Rattus norvegicus: one gene and its partners. The protein of the gene in region 1 interacts with the protein of each later gene in a pairwise test. Links are inferred from orthologs where the notes say so. Each region holds a gene or a part of one and is shown on either strand. Other genes may lie near its edges.

Region 1 (5,031 bases):
GTAGTCAGCCAGGCACAAAAACATGACAAAACAGGAAACACCGGACAGCACAGATGGATCGAGATAATAGATAATCCTATTAAAAACAAAGAAAATTAACCAAGGTTAGAGAACCACAGTGGTCATTATTCCTAGTCAAAGAGGTTCACTCTTCACCCTCAGCTTCTCAGAGATGGTGCTGTTTCCTTTCTAATTTCCTCACAAAGGGTTTTCTCGAGGTACCACGGCATGATGTTGTCACAGTTAAAAAAGTGCTTAATGTAAACAACGATAGTCAAAAACTCTGGAGACCTCAATATTTAGTAGAAAATAATATAAAGCAAGAGTGTTGAAATAAGAGTTTGAGTGTCTGGAATTTATTCAACAGTATTAACTTACAATTTTACATAAGGACTACAAATTCTAGAAAGTGGGCAAGCTGCTTGAAATAAAGGCATTCCTCTTGGATTATGTAGTACAAAAGCTTCTCTAAGCATAGGCTATGAACCCTCGGAGCATTTAGCAATAGAATCTCTCACTTACAGGAACAGCAGGGAGACCACACCCATAATGGCAGGTGGAAACCAGGCTCTTTCCCACCGAAGGACTTTGTCAGCCATCAGCATCACTTCTCCCCAGCCTTGCAGCTGCTCTTCAAGACTTGCAGTCTCCACGGCCTACGCATGACCAACAGTGTTACAGTGTCACTTCCCCAATCTCAACACTTTGGTGGCTCAAGTGAGTAAAATCTTTCTAAGTCATCAAATACACATAAAATGCCTTTAACAAAACTGTTATCTTAAACAAGGTGAGTCATGAAAAACTGCACTTTTGGTACACAAACATGAAAATCCGTGGGCAGGAGAAAGCATAGGCTTTAATGGTCACTTTAGCACTGGGACACATGTCCATGATGTATCATCATACTGCCAAGGTTTCACAATGTATTTCAATATTCATGAAGGTGAGCTTAATATGGTTAACCAATATCCCCAATGTACCCACAGAGCCATGAGGCAGTGCTCAGAATATTACTAAATTGAATATTCTGTTTGCTCATTTCAGGTGGTTGGCATTGATCTGTTGATTGGTCAATTTATTGATTTAAGCCCTTCTAAATCCATCAGGAGAACTTTTCCCTTAATACTAAATACATAATAGTATTTATACTATTAATAGTATAATAGAATAACTCTGGTATTGGCAGTCACTGTGGAATTAAAGAAAACTATTCTAACCAAATTATGTGACCTCAGCACTTAAAAGTTCTCCATAATGGCTTCTTCTTGTTAATGATGGAATTTCAATTAAATCTCAAAGTTTCTCTGCATATGCGACAACCAGTCAAAAGCGTACCTTCACCATGGGCTATTGTGGCCTAGACCTATCAGGGACTTTAGTAAAGGAAGGAAATTAGAACCCAGCAGTTGCTCAGTCTGTGCAGAACCCTGGATTCAACATCCAGGAACCACAAACACACAAAGCTCAACCGATACATCAACTTTTCACAAAGTAGTATGCAAATGATAGTACGGTTGAGGCTAATTTTAGTAAAGATGAAATATGTGACTAAGAACTTCTGACGTCACCCCACACTAGAAATTCTTAACCTTTTACATGTTAAACTTCAATTAATGCTCCTCAAACTGGAAAAGGTATTCTTACAACCTCTACTTTAAGATGAGGAGACTGAGACACAAAGAGGCTAATATATTTAAATCCAGGAAACATAAGACTAATGGCCTTGCTCTCCTTAAAATGATACTGCATTGATGGAAATAGAGGCCCTCTCCTGTGGGAGTTTCCCTGTACAGCAATTAATCCTCTTACTGGATTGTTTGTTGGTGTATGTGTATTGTGTAGGGTAAGATTTAGGATGCAGGGCAGGCATCTCTATTGGATTGTTTGCTTATGTACTGTGTGTGTGTGTGTGTGTGTGTGTGTGTGTGTGTGTGTGTCTGTGTAGAGGGAATTCAAGGATACAGGGCATTCACATTTAAACACGAATACAAACTGAAAATCTTGTACAATCAAAACTGTCCCAAAGTCACTTGTCGGCACTTAGGCTCTCAGAAAAAGTGAAAAAGCTGATTAAAATCTGATTGCTATTTTCATTTCTGATATGGTCTGCCTTTTCTGGGGAATGACATTACAGGGCGGGGGGAGGGGAATGATCTTTCGTTCTTGCCTACGTGCAGTTTAAAATTTAAAACAGGGCCTGGTGATGCTCAACTGTAATCCCAGCGCTTGAGAGGTGGAGACAGGAGGATGACAAATACAAGGCTAACCTCGATAGGTCAGGATACACGAAAACCTAGCCTTAAAAAAACAAAAACAAAAACTTGTAATGAAGCAAACATGCCCTCCTTTAATACCATCTCCTGCAGCTCCTTCAAATCTGTGCTAATCGGGGTTGGGGATTTAGCTCAGTGGTAGAGCGCTTGCCTAGCAAGCGCAAGGCCCTGGGTTCGGTCCCCAGCTCCGAAAAAAAAGAAAAAAAAATCTGTGCTAATCATTTTAAAGTTGCAACCAGTCCGGTGAGTCCCTCGTCAGTTCCCAGACAAGTGCCAGGATCTCCCACTGTCCTTTCCGCATAACCCGTTTTCAGCTTCCTGCGGTGAACTCCAACCAAGCAACTCCAACAAATTCTGTGTCAGCGATAAACTAATTCTCTGTAGCAGCCCTTTGACCCTCCATCCTTGCGCCAAGTTTTAGGGAAAAAAGAATCATGATTAAAAATAATCTACGAGGGGCTGGGGATTTAGCTCAGTGGTAGAGCGCTTGCCTAGCAAGCACAAGGCCCTGGGTTCGGTCCCCAGCTCCGAAAAAAAGAAAAAATAATAATAATCTACGAAACATGAAATTAAGATCAGAGGGCAAAACAGGTAGGTCTCTCCGGCCTGAGCCGGGAACGCTAGACAAGGCCCCTTGCGGCCGAGTGCCCCAACCTGCTACCCAGGTTCCTTCTTGCCACAGACCCCTTCTCACATTTCCACACTCACGGTCCAAGCCTTGTAGTGCACGCTCCCCGGGGGACGTTGGGGATCGGCAGCAAGGACCACCACCGTGGAGATGGGCAGGGAGTCCCAGGATCAGGCCTGGCTGCCCCTGTAGTTCACCAAGACCAGGAGGTCCATCCGGGAGCTCTGGAGACAAACTGACCACTGCGACTCACCAGCAGGTTGCTGCTGCGGTTATCCCCCTCGGCCATCGTTCCAGACGCACGGTTATCAACGAGCGCGAACACACCAAACCCAACACCAGCACGGTAACCCGAGCGCGGGGGGGAACGCCCCGCAGGCCGCTTATATAGGCTCGCTGCCTTTCCCGACAGCCCTCGCGAAACTCGCTCCTCATTGGATAGACCGCACTCCGGCTTCTGGGAAGCCAGGCCAACCGGCAGCTAGCGCATGACTTGAAATCCAGGTCAAAGGAGAGTGAAGCTGCGCGGAGCTGAAAGACTCTGGCCAATCAGAGTGCAGGGGTGTGGCCCGCGGGAGGCGGAGCGGAAGGAAGCGGTTCAACCGCCGTCGCTAGTCTCTCACCCAAATCTTCCTGAACGTTTGTGGCCTCTCTACTCCCTACCTGTCTTCTGCTGTATCTCAAAGGCGCCGAGGGGCCTGTCTGCTCAGCTGAGTAGAGGATGCGCAGTGGCATCCTATGCGGAGGCTAGATGGGCAAGGGACGCTTTTAGGTTCCCGTGGCACCTGCTGACTGGAAGACAAGCGTCCCCATGTGAGCACCTGTGCCTAATGCTGCTGCCTTTTCGCCAACAGTGTTAACAGGCGTTTTGAGAACACGAAAGATGCACGAACTCTTAAAGGGCGTCATTTGCAGCCAGACTTTGGGGGAATCATTTGCGGGGCGCTTCACTTGATTGATTTGAGTACTTCAGGTAGCTAGGGGAGCGCTTCATTCGGAGGGATGGATGGGTAGAGGAACAATTCAGATGATGGAACGCTTCGAACTGATTAATGGGTGTTATGGGGAAGCCATGCTAAATACGGACTTCAACTATCTTAGATTTATATTCTTTAAAAAATAAAATAAATAAGCAAATTACCAGGTTCTTTAAAGTCCCTGGAAGTTTAAAAGAAACCTGAGAGACCACATAGTGAGCCCAAATAAGCCTGGTCCTTTCTGGCCCACGGTGGTTCTATCAAAGGGGCAATTTGTCAGACGTTTTGACCAGCAAAGCAGCTCAGAGTGTGTGTGTGTTATGGGGGGTGGGGGTGGGGGTGGGGGGTTATGACTCGGCTGATAAATCATATCGAAAATTGTAAGGCCTGGAGTTCCCTCCTTCGCCTCCTCAGTACTGAGAACAAAAGGACCAAAACAGCTGAACCAAGCTAACCTGGTACCAGGAAGTCACTTTCTAAGAGGACAGAAGAGTAAAAAGAGGGTTTTTAAAATCTGTCACTTCTACCTTGGTAACTTGGCTACTGCTTCAGAAAGCTTCAAGTTTAATCGGTGTTCCCAAAGTAAAATTTAAGATTAAATTTAGGACAGCCCCAGGTCCAAATCCAGCTCTCACTGACCTTGCAAATTGGCCCAAGGGTTATAAACATCTTTTTTTTTTTTTTAACACAAAGAGGAGTGACCTTTGAAATGTGTCAGATGATGAAGCCCGTTACACTAATCTTCCTCAGAACTTTGGCATAGCAAATGAACTCTTCCCAAATATTCTTTTCATTTCTTTCACTCAGAATAAGGGTCAAAGTTTTGTTTTAAATATTGCTAAAACTGAGCTTCATACATTCTTTTGCTATTCGAGACAGGGTTTCTCTGTGTAGTCCTGACAGTCCTGGTACTTGTTTTACAGACCAGGTTGGCCTAGAAACCAGAGATTCACCCATCCTTACCTTTGAATGGCTGTTCAAAAAGGATTTTTTTTTTTTTGAGATCTTTAAGATTTATTTTATGTATGTGAACACGTTGTCACTGTCTTCAGACACACCGGATCCCTTTACAGATGTTTGTGAGCCACCATGTGGTTACTGTAAATTGAGCTCAGGACCTCTCTCTGGAACTGCTCTTAACCTCTGAGCCATC
Region 2 (5,035 bases), on another chromosome or scaffold:
GAGGCTGCATTGGGTTCCAGGTAGGGGTAGAAGGGACCCACCTCAGTCCACCCTAAAGTCCCCTAGCAAGATCTGACCCCAGGGAATTCTGACCTGGCCCCTCGAAGAGTCTTGTGAGTGGTGGTGGTGACGATGTCCGCATACTTGAAAGGTGAGGGGATCACCTTGGCAGCCACCAGGCCACTGATATGGGCCATGTCTGCCAGCAGGTGTGCCTTGACTTCGTCACACACCTGGGCAGGTAGAGACAGATCTCAGCCTGAGGAAGACCTGTATAGGTATACAGTAAGGGCAGCTGTCCGCCCAGCCCCGCCCCCGGCCCCACCCCCTGGCATAGAGGAGTGCTTGATTGGCACTCCCTCACCGACCTCTCTCATTCGTGCATAGTCAATGAGGCGGGCATAGGCACTAGTGCCAGCTATGATGAGCCGAGGTCGGAAAAGCCGAGCAGTCAGCGCTAGCTGGTCGTAGTCGATGAGGCCGGTTTGGGGCTAGACAGACAGAGAGCCAGATAAAGCCAATGCTCCTAGGGGCTGAGGGCTGCCCAGAGCTCCCACTGGCCAGGAGGCCAGCCCCTGGAACACGTACATTGAGCTTATACGGCATGGACTCGAAGAAGATGGAGGTGGCAGAGATCCGCTTGACATCAGACATGTAGCCGTGGGTGAGGCTGCAAAGAGGGGAGGGCTCACTAAAGTTATGTAGCCTGACTGAATCAGCCACCTAGCAGGCCTGTCCCTGCAACACTAGTTCCAGCTTCCCTCACCCCCATTGCTCTGCCTACCCCATGCTGGGTACTCAATGTAACTTGGAACAGGGCCTGATGGTTAACTCCTGTCCTGTGTCCTTACTGCCCAGCAACCCCCATCATTCAGCCCGCCCATACTCACTGGCCCCCATCGGGCAGGTCCAACCCCATGATTCGATCATGAGGCTGCAGAAGGGCGGTGTAGGCAGCCAGGTTGGCTGGGGACCCTGAATACGGCTGCACATTGACTCCCCACTGTGCAGGATCCAGGTCAAAGGCTTCCAAGGCCCGGCGCTGACACAGCAGCTCAATCTCGTCCACGACTTCTGCTCCTCCGTAGTATCTGGCGTGGAGACGGCACATAAGGAAGGATGCAGAGAAAGGGTCCTTGACCAGCAGCAAAGGACTAGGCAGCCGCTGCTCCATAAACACTAACAGGGCTCGGGAAGGTTTCCGACTGGGGGTGCCATCCCTGCTGCTGCCCTCCAGCCCTCTGGTCTAGCCTCACCTCTTGCCAGGGTAACCCTCCGAGTACTTGTTGTTGAGACAGGACCCCAGGGCCTCCAGCGCAGCTCGGCTGCAGAAGTTCTGGGGTGGTGGGGGGGGGGGGCAATGTCAGAAGGCAATGAGCCTCCCTTCCCCTGGACTCCCATGGCCCCACCCCTGCCAGAGCCCACAGGCTGCAGGGGCTGAGACAGGATACACAAAAAAGCTCTGTATTCCTCGCCAGGCTTGAGGCGGGACCAGAGGCAACGTTCTGAAAAACTCAGCCACCGTGACGGGTAGCCCCAGTAAGAGGGCCACCCGTCCACTCAACCTGTGTTTCTGGGTTTCTCTTCTGACTAGAGGAGGAGGTAAGGAGGAGACAGGGCCGTATGGCTCTAGAAGTTCCCTATCACCCATGCCCCATAAACTGGTCCTGCCCTACATTTCAGAGGACAGTGTAAAGAGAGGGAAAAAGCCCAGGAAAAAAAGCTTGAGTCTGACAGGGAGGCGTGGAGAAGTCATGGTAAGGTGACGTGTTGTTCCCTGCACGCACACACGCTCGCAAGCTTGCTCTTTGCCCCATACCCTCACGTCCTACCTCTGAGGCGATGAGCTCCAGGCCACGACACTGTCTGTCCTTCTCCCTCTGCAGAAGCTCCCATATCTCAGGGTCACTGTCTGATAAACTCTCCTGGCCCGTCCAGCCTCCAGCTGCTTCCCCAGCCTGCTTCTGGGCCACCTCACTGTGCTGGGCCCGGGCAGCCATGCAGACCAGCTGACCACATCTCTGCAGAGGCTCAGGGCAGAAAAGCCAGGATTAATTAAAAATTGTCCAGTTCTCTTTCTCTCCCAGTTGCCCTAGGTCATGGGTACAGATAGAGCCCTCTGGCTGAGTAGGCAGCCTGGTCCAGCCAGCAGTCAGCTCTCTCCACCCCCAGCCTTCATCTGGAAAAGCTAGTTCTGGAGTCAAAGGGTCAGATCACTATCCAAAGGGCGATTCTGACACAGCGCACTCTCAATCTCCCTCCACATCACCCTGAGTGACTCTGCAAAGTCACTCTAGAGCAAAGCTTGCGCTCCAGAAATCCACGTCTCCCAAATTCTGGTGAGAGACACAGATACCAGAGTCGCCCGCACACAGGAACAAAAGGTCTGGAGAGATGGTTCAGTAGTTAAGAGCACCAGCTGCTCTTGTGGAGGACAGAGGTTCATCTTCCAGCACCCAAAAAGCAGTTAACAACCATCTGGAACTCCAGTTCCAAGTGACCCGAAGCCCTGCTCTGACCTCTGTGAGTACCCGGGCATGCACGCAGTGCACTTATAGTGCAGTCAAAATATTCGTGACCATAAAGGGGCGGACTTCCTGCAGGGCCTCCATCCACCAGCACTCCAATGAGAGAAGATATCAAGTTAACAGGGCTTAACACCACAGGCTGATTAAGGGTGGTTTCCAGAGCAACTCAAGTAGAAGAACTTTTAAACAGTTCTTGGAAAGAGGTGTGTACTGGCGGGAATGGGGGTAGGGCGAAAGTGTTTGCCCAAAAGGAAGCCAAAAATCTTAATTTTATCTCATACTCATATAATATATATACACACACACAGCACCTCGCTACCTTCTTCCTGCCCACAAAGCAGCAGGACCCTTGCGTGATGAAAGTACTGAGGCTCGGTTGCATCATCTCCATAGCTCAGAGCTAGCGGGAAAAATTCAACTAGCGCATCGAAGCCGGGAACCCCACTTGTTCGCTAGGGTATTGCTAACACAGCGTCTGCGGATCTTTACCTTAAGTGCCTCGTTAACTGAGCGGTTACAAGACCCTAGGACGTCTGATCGCCAGAACTAGGAGCCCAAGCACCGCACGTGCGCTGTCTCAGGGATTTCCTGGTGAAGCATCCGTTCCCCGAGGCCCCAGAACACGTGCGGCGAGGAGCCAGAGAAACCCCACTTTGTAAAAAAGTGGGATGGGCCTTTCCACTGGTCATCCAGTATCCAGAACCCTGTTCTTACCCGAGTGGTCCGAAGTAAAGAGAAGGGTACCATCGCCACCGGAGGCCACGGGAGGACCAGCCGCTAACTTGTATTGGTGTAGTACCGGGGTCGGAAACCGGCTGCTTCTAGAGCGCATGCGCGAGAAAATGCCCCCGTGAAGTCCGAGTTAAAGGGGCGTTCCCTGCGCGTGCGCAACACTGATCTCTAAAATTGCCTTCTGGGAATTGTAGTTTTTCCTTTATCCTTTCCCACATATACTTGTCGTCCCCTCCCCACCCCCCGTTTAAAGAGCTTTGCCTGAAAGAGACTTAGAGCTCTTCCGTGTCCTTCCTTGAAGCTCTTCAGACTTTTTGTTTTCTTTTTTTCCTGCCGGTTGTCCAGACGTGCTTTTTGGTTTGTTTGTTTGTTTGTTTGTTTGTTTGTTTGTTTGTTTTCATGTGGTTTATGCCTACCAAGGAGCCAGTATATGTCCTCTGGGAGATTCAAGACATATATAGAAGGTAAATAACTATCACGTATCACGCAGTGGAAACAAATATAGTTTGTTAAAAGACTCAAATCCTTGCTTTCGGATTACAGCACAACAGCCCCTCTGGTCCTCCATTTCTTCCATTGTCATTCTAACTCTAGGGAAGATTAAAAGTTCAAGGTTAGACCCAGCTACATATGAAGTTAGAAGCCAGTGGAACACATATGAGCCTGTCACACCTTGATGCCTCCAACACAAAGAGCTTGTAGAAGGGATTAAATAAAACTTTGCATGTGAACATGATTCCCCCCCATCCCCACCCGCCATGGGTGTTGCATTCCTTGTTTACATGTTGCTTATCCCCCCAGCCGTTGCCCACTTTCTTGAAACTGGTCTGAGTAAACCTTTGAGTGGGGTATATACTGTTCTCTCCAGGGAAGACTCCAATTGAGTTGGGGACATTGTTTTGTTTTTGCTTTTTTCAAGACAGGGTTTGTAATGGCTATTCCTGGTTGTCAACTTGACTCTATCTGGAATGAACTACAATCCAGAATTGGAGGGCTCACCCATGATCCAGATCTTGAAGCTGGAAGACACAAGTTTCTGACCTAGATCTTGGCATGGAGATCTTGAGGCATAGTGGCCATGAAAAGTTTAGGCCCAGGCATGGAAGGTAGTACATGCGCCTTTAATCCCAGATTGAGGCAAGGAGATCTGAGTTCAAGGTCAGCCTGAGACAAAGCAAGTTCCAGATCCAGGCATGGTGGTACACACCTTTCATCTGGGCCACACCTTCTGCTGGAGGCCTACACTAGGACATTGGAAGAAGGAAGATTCGCTCTTCTTCCACTGCTTGCACTTACTTGCCAGCACATCTGTCTCTGTCAGAACCTACTTCTACAGAAGAGTAACTTGTGGAACTGAGCAACTACAAGATTCTTGGACTTCCATTCACAGCTGACTGATGTTGGGTTAGTTGGACTACAGACTTAAGTCATTACAATAAATTCCCTCAATATAGAGATGCATTCCATAAGTTCTCTATGTATCCTGGAACTCACTCTGTAGACCAGGCTGGCCTCAAATTCAGAGATCCTCCTGCCTCTGCCTCCCTAGTGCCGGACCGAACCCAGGGCCTTGCGCTTCCTAGGCAAGCACTCTACCACTGAGCTAAATCCCCAACCCCGGGCTTGGGACATCTTAAGGCCTCTACTTCAGTGGTTCTCAAAGACACACAACCATACCTCTTGGGGATTCCAGTAAGCAGCGGTTTTTGAGAACCATTGGCCTCCTTTAGTCATTTTATACCTTTGTTCATTCAGTAGACATTGAGCCTGCTGGG
Region 3 (5,244 bases), on another chromosome or scaffold:
CACACAGACAGACATACATACACACACACACACACACACACACACACACACACACACACACACACCAGTCCTCCAGAGACAGAGGCAGGCAAATCTCTGTGAGTTTTCGGTCAGCCTAGTCTACACAGACTAGATGGAGCTATGGGGTGAAGCCTTGTCTCAAGGGACAGGAAAAAGAAAAAAGAAAAAGCCAAGATCCTCAGACTTCAAAGGACCCTGGTCAAAGCTCCAGTCTGCCATGTGAGAGCTCTCTGAAACCATCTTGGAAACGTACTGTTGGAGTAGAAATACATGAGAACAGCTGCTGTACAGTCTGCAGACAGACAGACATCCCACCGCCACACAGAACACGCAAAAGAAAAACCACCGACTGCACCAACCTCCATGCCCACCTCTGAGGGCTGGGAGACCAAGCTGCCATGCCTGCCCCTGAGGGCTGGGAGGGACCCGTGTGTGAACTGACATTGGTCCGGGCTTTTTCATACTTCTGAGGTCTGACTCGACATCCCAAACTGCTGACAAGTCTGGAGCTCAGGGCTCAGCACTGCCCAAAGAGCAGAGATGCAGAGAGGACCCCTGAAGCTCACATCCTCTGGGGTCAAAACTGCCTGCTGCCTCTCTTCATTTGTGGCAAGAACCCCCCCACCCCACGCCTCAGGGAGCCACCTGGAACCTCTGGTTGTCCTCTGTTCTCTTTAGGACACTGGGTCCAGGCATTCTCTGGTCCCCACAGGAGGGGCACCTGCTGTGGGCATCAGGACATCAGGGTCCAACCTCGTATGATGGAAACTGAGGCCAAACCAAGCTCCCCAGAAATAGATCTCAAAGAGGTCTACTGTACAAAGAACCCAGTAAGAGAGCTAGGATACCCTGAAGGGGACAGGAACCCTCAGGGCACTGAGGGATGAACTCAGAGGCCAAGGGAGGTCACCACCAGATGCGGCAACATTTGACAAGCATGCTCCCACGAAGCGTGGAATGGTTTAGTCTGGCCCACAGTTGAGCAGGTAGGACACACGTCACCCACTCTCAGCCATGCAAGTGTGGGAGAGTGGCCAACCCCGTTGTCAAATAGGTATGATGGTAAGATGGAAACTATAAAAACTACTGGAAACAACCTCGAAGGGGTGGATGAGGGCAAGGATCCAGAGGCCTCTGCAAGATCGTCCAGGGGACACAGTCAAGGAGCAGGATGCATGAGCTTAGACCAAGCCAAGAGGTGTGAGCACTTGTACAATACCACAGTAATCACCCCGCTACCTGCACAGCACTCCACGGAGATGAGTAAAAAAAAAAACCTCACTGCTGCCTGTCAGCGGGGGTAACGCGGAGTGTCTGCGGCAGATCCCAAGTCCTTACTAGCCAATGAGCCAAGGCAGGTAGAATCCTTCATTACCAGGGAAAGCAGCCAGAGGGGAGATAGGCCTCTGAGGTTCTAATCAAATGAGTCACTTGCTCTGTCTCAAAAGGCCCCATAACATCTCTTAGGCGTCTGTTTAACCTCCATCTTATGAAGGAGACGGACGTTAAACGACCTGTTTGAAATCACAACCAGCTGTGGCTGGAGTGTGACTCCACATCTATGAGGCAGGAAGAGGACATAAGGAGTTGGGGGTGGTGAGGAGGAGGGGTCGTGAAGGAGACAAGAAGGGGTGTGAACTCATCACACAGCCCAGGCTGGCCCTAAATTCACCATGCTTATGCCACAGCTGAGCCTGGTACACTGGGAGCTTCTGACAGTGACAGAGTCCTGAGGAAGTCCTCGGAAGCCTGCCACGGAGCATCGAGGGCCTGAGGGCACACTACACACGGACCTCAATTTCCAGACCCTCACCGGCTATCTCCATTCCCTCTGAGGGCCAGATGGGGACGAGAGGACCTGGTTCTGCCCTCTAGGCGTTAGGGTCTGAGTGTTGGGAGTGAACCTGCTGCAAGCTCTGTTTCAGGTGCCGGTCATGAGGAAAAGCGGAAGGGCAGGTGTCAACAACACCCAGCCAGGGCTTCCAAGGCCCCAGGAATCTCCGCCTGCCCTTCTCCATGAGCCCAGCGTGACCCACTGTGGTTTAGCATACAGCCCAAACCCTCATCTGGCCTACTTTCCTCCTCTAACATCCCAGCACACGCACGCACACACACTCACACACATACATGCTAGTACACACAACCCAAACCTTCACCTGGCCTACTTCCCGCCTATAACTCCACCCACCGCCATTCCCAACACACACACACACACACACACACACACACACACACACACACACACACACCCTACAGGGTCATGCCACTCACACTCAGGGCACATGCAGAACACCCTTGGCTCCTTCAGCTTGAAGTGTGACCTCCTCCCTTTCCATGAACAGAAAGTTCTACTCTCAGTGTCCGTCTTCAAACGCAGCTCTGATCTCTGCGTCCCTTCAGATCCCTAACCCAGATCCCATTTCCTGGGTACACACACAGCGGGGCGGCCCCTTCCTCGCCTTACAGCAGCAGGACCCCAAGTGCCAAGAGGCATCTCTTGGAATATGTTCATCAACTTTACATGGTGTGCACCTAACAGAGGCTCGGTCAGCTTGGTCCAGTGGGATCTGGACCGGGGCTGTCCCCTCCAGCCCAGTGGGAACGGAAGCCTCCACTGATGCTGGACTTCATGTGTCAGGAGCAGCTTACCCTTCTGACACCCGGCCTCTGTCCTTGCTCCCTTTCCCATCTGCTCTACGCATCCAGCCTGGCCAAGGCATTCCAGGCACTGGCCCCAGGATGCCCTCAGCGGGACATCTAATTTCTTCTCTAGAGTGGCCCCAAGGTGGATGGCCCCAGCCATTACGGTTCAGTCTAGCTTCCCATCTTCCCAGGCCACTTGACTCTACTTCCAGCAATAAACTTTCTCCAGAGAGAAAGGTGGCTCTGACCATGACAGAAAACCCTTACACAGGTTCTCCCCACTTCCCTAGGAGGCCCAGGACTGCTTTCTCAGGGGACGTGCGATACTTGAAGACTGAGATTCCTGGGCTCCCCTTAGGGTTGCTAATCGGAGCTCCACTAGCGGGATACCGCAGGGGGCCTCCCTGGCGCTCCACCCTCCCAGACGCCGGCGCTCGCGGCTCAGTAGAGCCGGGCGTGCCTCAGGTTTCGCTCATCTGGGAACGCGCACCCGAGAGCGCCCCTTCCAACCCGGGCCACCGCGCCCGGAGCCCGCTCCAAATTGGAGAGCGGCAGTGGCAAGCGGCAAGCCACGGTACCTGTCAGCAGTTGGAGCCTGTGTCCCAGCACCTTCATCTCGGCGTCGGAGGAGCGCGCTGGGCCGCCCGGGGCGAGGCGCGCAGTAGCCGCAGAGAGGAGCGGCGGGAGAGCGGGAGCGGCGGGAGCAGCAGCCGGTAGTGCGGTGCGCTCGCCGCCCCCTCCAGCAGGGTTTAAAAAAATCCACCAATGGCACAGCCGCGCACCCCAAAAGGCACCCGCCGCCACCTGGCCGTGGTGAGCGCCGATGGGGGGGGGAGAGTGTGACACCACGCGGGAGGGGCCCCTCGTGAACAAAGACGCCTGCCGCCCCCAGCCCTCGCGGGCGGACGGGCGACAGCCGTGGTCTCCGGGGGTCCGAGCCAAGAAGGCGAGGGGTGGCTGGGAGACAGGGCGTCGCCCTCGCGTGGGCGGAAGGTGGCCGGGGGGCGGGGAAGAGAAGGTGCGGGACTGCTGTGTGGCTGCGCCTAGAGGAGATCCCAAGGGTGAGGGAGCGGCGACTCACCCAGGCTGCCGAGCTACACGGTCGCGGAGGCGTGAGCCTGGCCTGGACGCCGCCGCCCACGAGCCGTGCAGGTTCCCCGCACGAGCGAGCCCGGGAGCTGGGGGCGGGGCGGGGCGCCGCGGGGGGCGTGCCAACGTGGGTGGGTGGGCGTGGGCCGCGCTGCGCGTCCCGCTTGTTGGCTGGACGCTAGCTGTTGCGGGCTGTGGGAGTGGGCGGGAGGCTCTGCTGGAAGACCCACAGGCCTGGCCCAGACGCAATCTGCAGCACCCGGCCCGGCTCCCAGAGGTTCCCATCTCTTTGCACTGCGTTCCTTGCGGAGCGCCAGAGACGCAGACTTCGGGCTTTGTTTGGGCTCCCACGGGGAAACTAGGCCCACTCCCGCCACCTGTGACCTCTCCTCCCTTGCAGTCCGACCTCACCCACCGGTCTGGGGAGACGCCGTGGGAGGTTGGGGAGAACCAGGAGTTCAGTGGTCCAGGAGCCAACGCTCCTCTGCTTGCAAAGCCTGAAGGTTTCTGAGGAACTCAGGCCACTTCCTGGCTAAAGATGTTCTTTCTGGGCACCCCTGACGGTTTCACTCACACTGTGACTTCAATCTCCTCTCTGCTGTTCACTCTCCGTTATCAGGAGCCGGAGAAGGAACAGGACTTTACTTTCCCTGAACTCCCTCTACTGGGGTCTAGTCCTGGTTCCTCGGAAGGAGGGTCAAAGGCCCTGAAGCATCATAAACCCTGAAACTGGGACGAGATAAAGATTCCTGGAGACTCTGTTCAGGCTCTAAAGATGACTATGGGCCCCTTCCTTACCTTTTCTCTGGGTTCCTGTCTTTATGACCCACAGAGAAAGTACTAGACCAGGAAATCTCTGAGGCCCTGGCTGTGAGGGAGGAGAGTGTCAAGAGAAGCCAGCCCACCTCTTCTGACTTCTGAAACCTCTCGGTAGGAGGTGCTTTGCCATTAGGCCTGGGCTCCAGGTGGCCAGCACCTGAAGTAAATTAACCCCACGGCCAGCTGAGGAAGCAGCTGAGATTTTGAGGCTGCAGGTGGTGCACACCTGCTTATGGTTACTTACTGCTTGTGGTTGAAGGGATTCTAACATGGTTCTGCCAGGCCTTGCCCTTCTCCCGCATTCCCCGTGCCTTGCTTAAAAAACAAAACAAGGCAAAAAAAAAAAAACCCCAAACAAACAAAAACAAAAACAAAAAAACAAAACAAAACAAAAAACCCACTAGATTACATTCTTAAAGCTAGCCGCCAAGCTTTTCCCTTATTTGACTACTTCCTCCTCCGGAAGCTGAGGTCCAACTATCAAAGTATTGAAGTCTAGTAACCAAATGCCCTCTTTGGCTGCCATAATTAACATGCCCTATTAAAATTAAACAGCTCAACCTAACACAGGGTTTCCCCCTTTCCCTTTATAAACTGCCATTTTCCTATGGGCCACGTCTGTCTCCTGTCTATCCAGAGGCAGTCCTGTGTCCCATGTTGTCACCCCCCAAT

Evidence for each region.
Region 2: the proteins of Arl6ip1 (region 1) and Shmt2 interact in binary tests that used the Homo sapiens proteins (3 or more experiments, as listed by UniProt). The two-hybrid records come from large-scale screens. The link is inferred for Rattus norvegicus from reciprocal best matches to the Homo sapiens genes ARL6IP1 and SHMT2.
Region 3: the proteins of Arl6ip1 (region 1) and Ndrg4 interact in binary tests that used the Homo sapiens proteins (3 or more experiments, as listed by UniProt). The two-hybrid records come from large-scale screens. The link is inferred for Rattus norvegicus from reciprocal best matches to the Homo sapiens genes ARL6IP1 and NDRG4.

What each region holds. Positions count from the first base shown.
Region 1 is NC_086019.1:181,870,988-181,876,018, forward strand, and holds the start of Arl6ip1 (ADP-ribosylation factor-like protein 6-interacting protein 1), read right to left. Parts: upstream 3,246-5,031; 5' UTR 3,191-3,245; coding exon 3,155-3,190; intron 657-3,154; coding exon 523-656; intron 77-522; coding exon 1-76. UniProt on the Homo sapiens protein: Positively regulates SLC1A1/EAAC1-mediated glutamate transport by increasing its affinity for glutamate in a PKC activity-dependent manner.
Region 2 is NC_086025.1:65,246,181-65,251,215, forward strand, and holds the start of Shmt2 (serine hydroxymethyltransferase, mitochondrial), read right to left. Parts: upstream 3,388-5,035; 5' UTR 3,276-3,387; coding exon 3,243-3,275; intron 2,031-3,242; coding exon 1,833-2,030; intron 1,337-1,832; coding exon 1,257-1,336; intron 1,092-1,256; coding exon 891-1,091; intron 671-890; coding exon 589-670; intron 492-588; coding exon 369-491; intron 271-368; coding exon of another isoform or gene 234-270; coding exon 94-233; intron 1-93. UniProt on the Homo sapiens protein: Catalyzes the cleavage of serine to glycine accompanied with the production of 5,10-methylenetetrahydrofolate, an essential intermediate for purine biosynthesis.
Region 3 is NC_086037.1:9,389,586-9,394,829, forward strand, and holds the start of Ndrg4 (protein NDRG4 isoform 1 precursor), read right to left. Parts: upstream 3,388-5,244; 5' UTR 3,280-3,387; coding exon 3,243-3,279; intron 1-3,242. UniProt on the Homo sapiens protein: Contributes to the maintenance of intracerebral BDNF levels within the normal range, which is necessary for the preservation of spatial learning and the resistance to neuronal cell death caused by ischemic stress.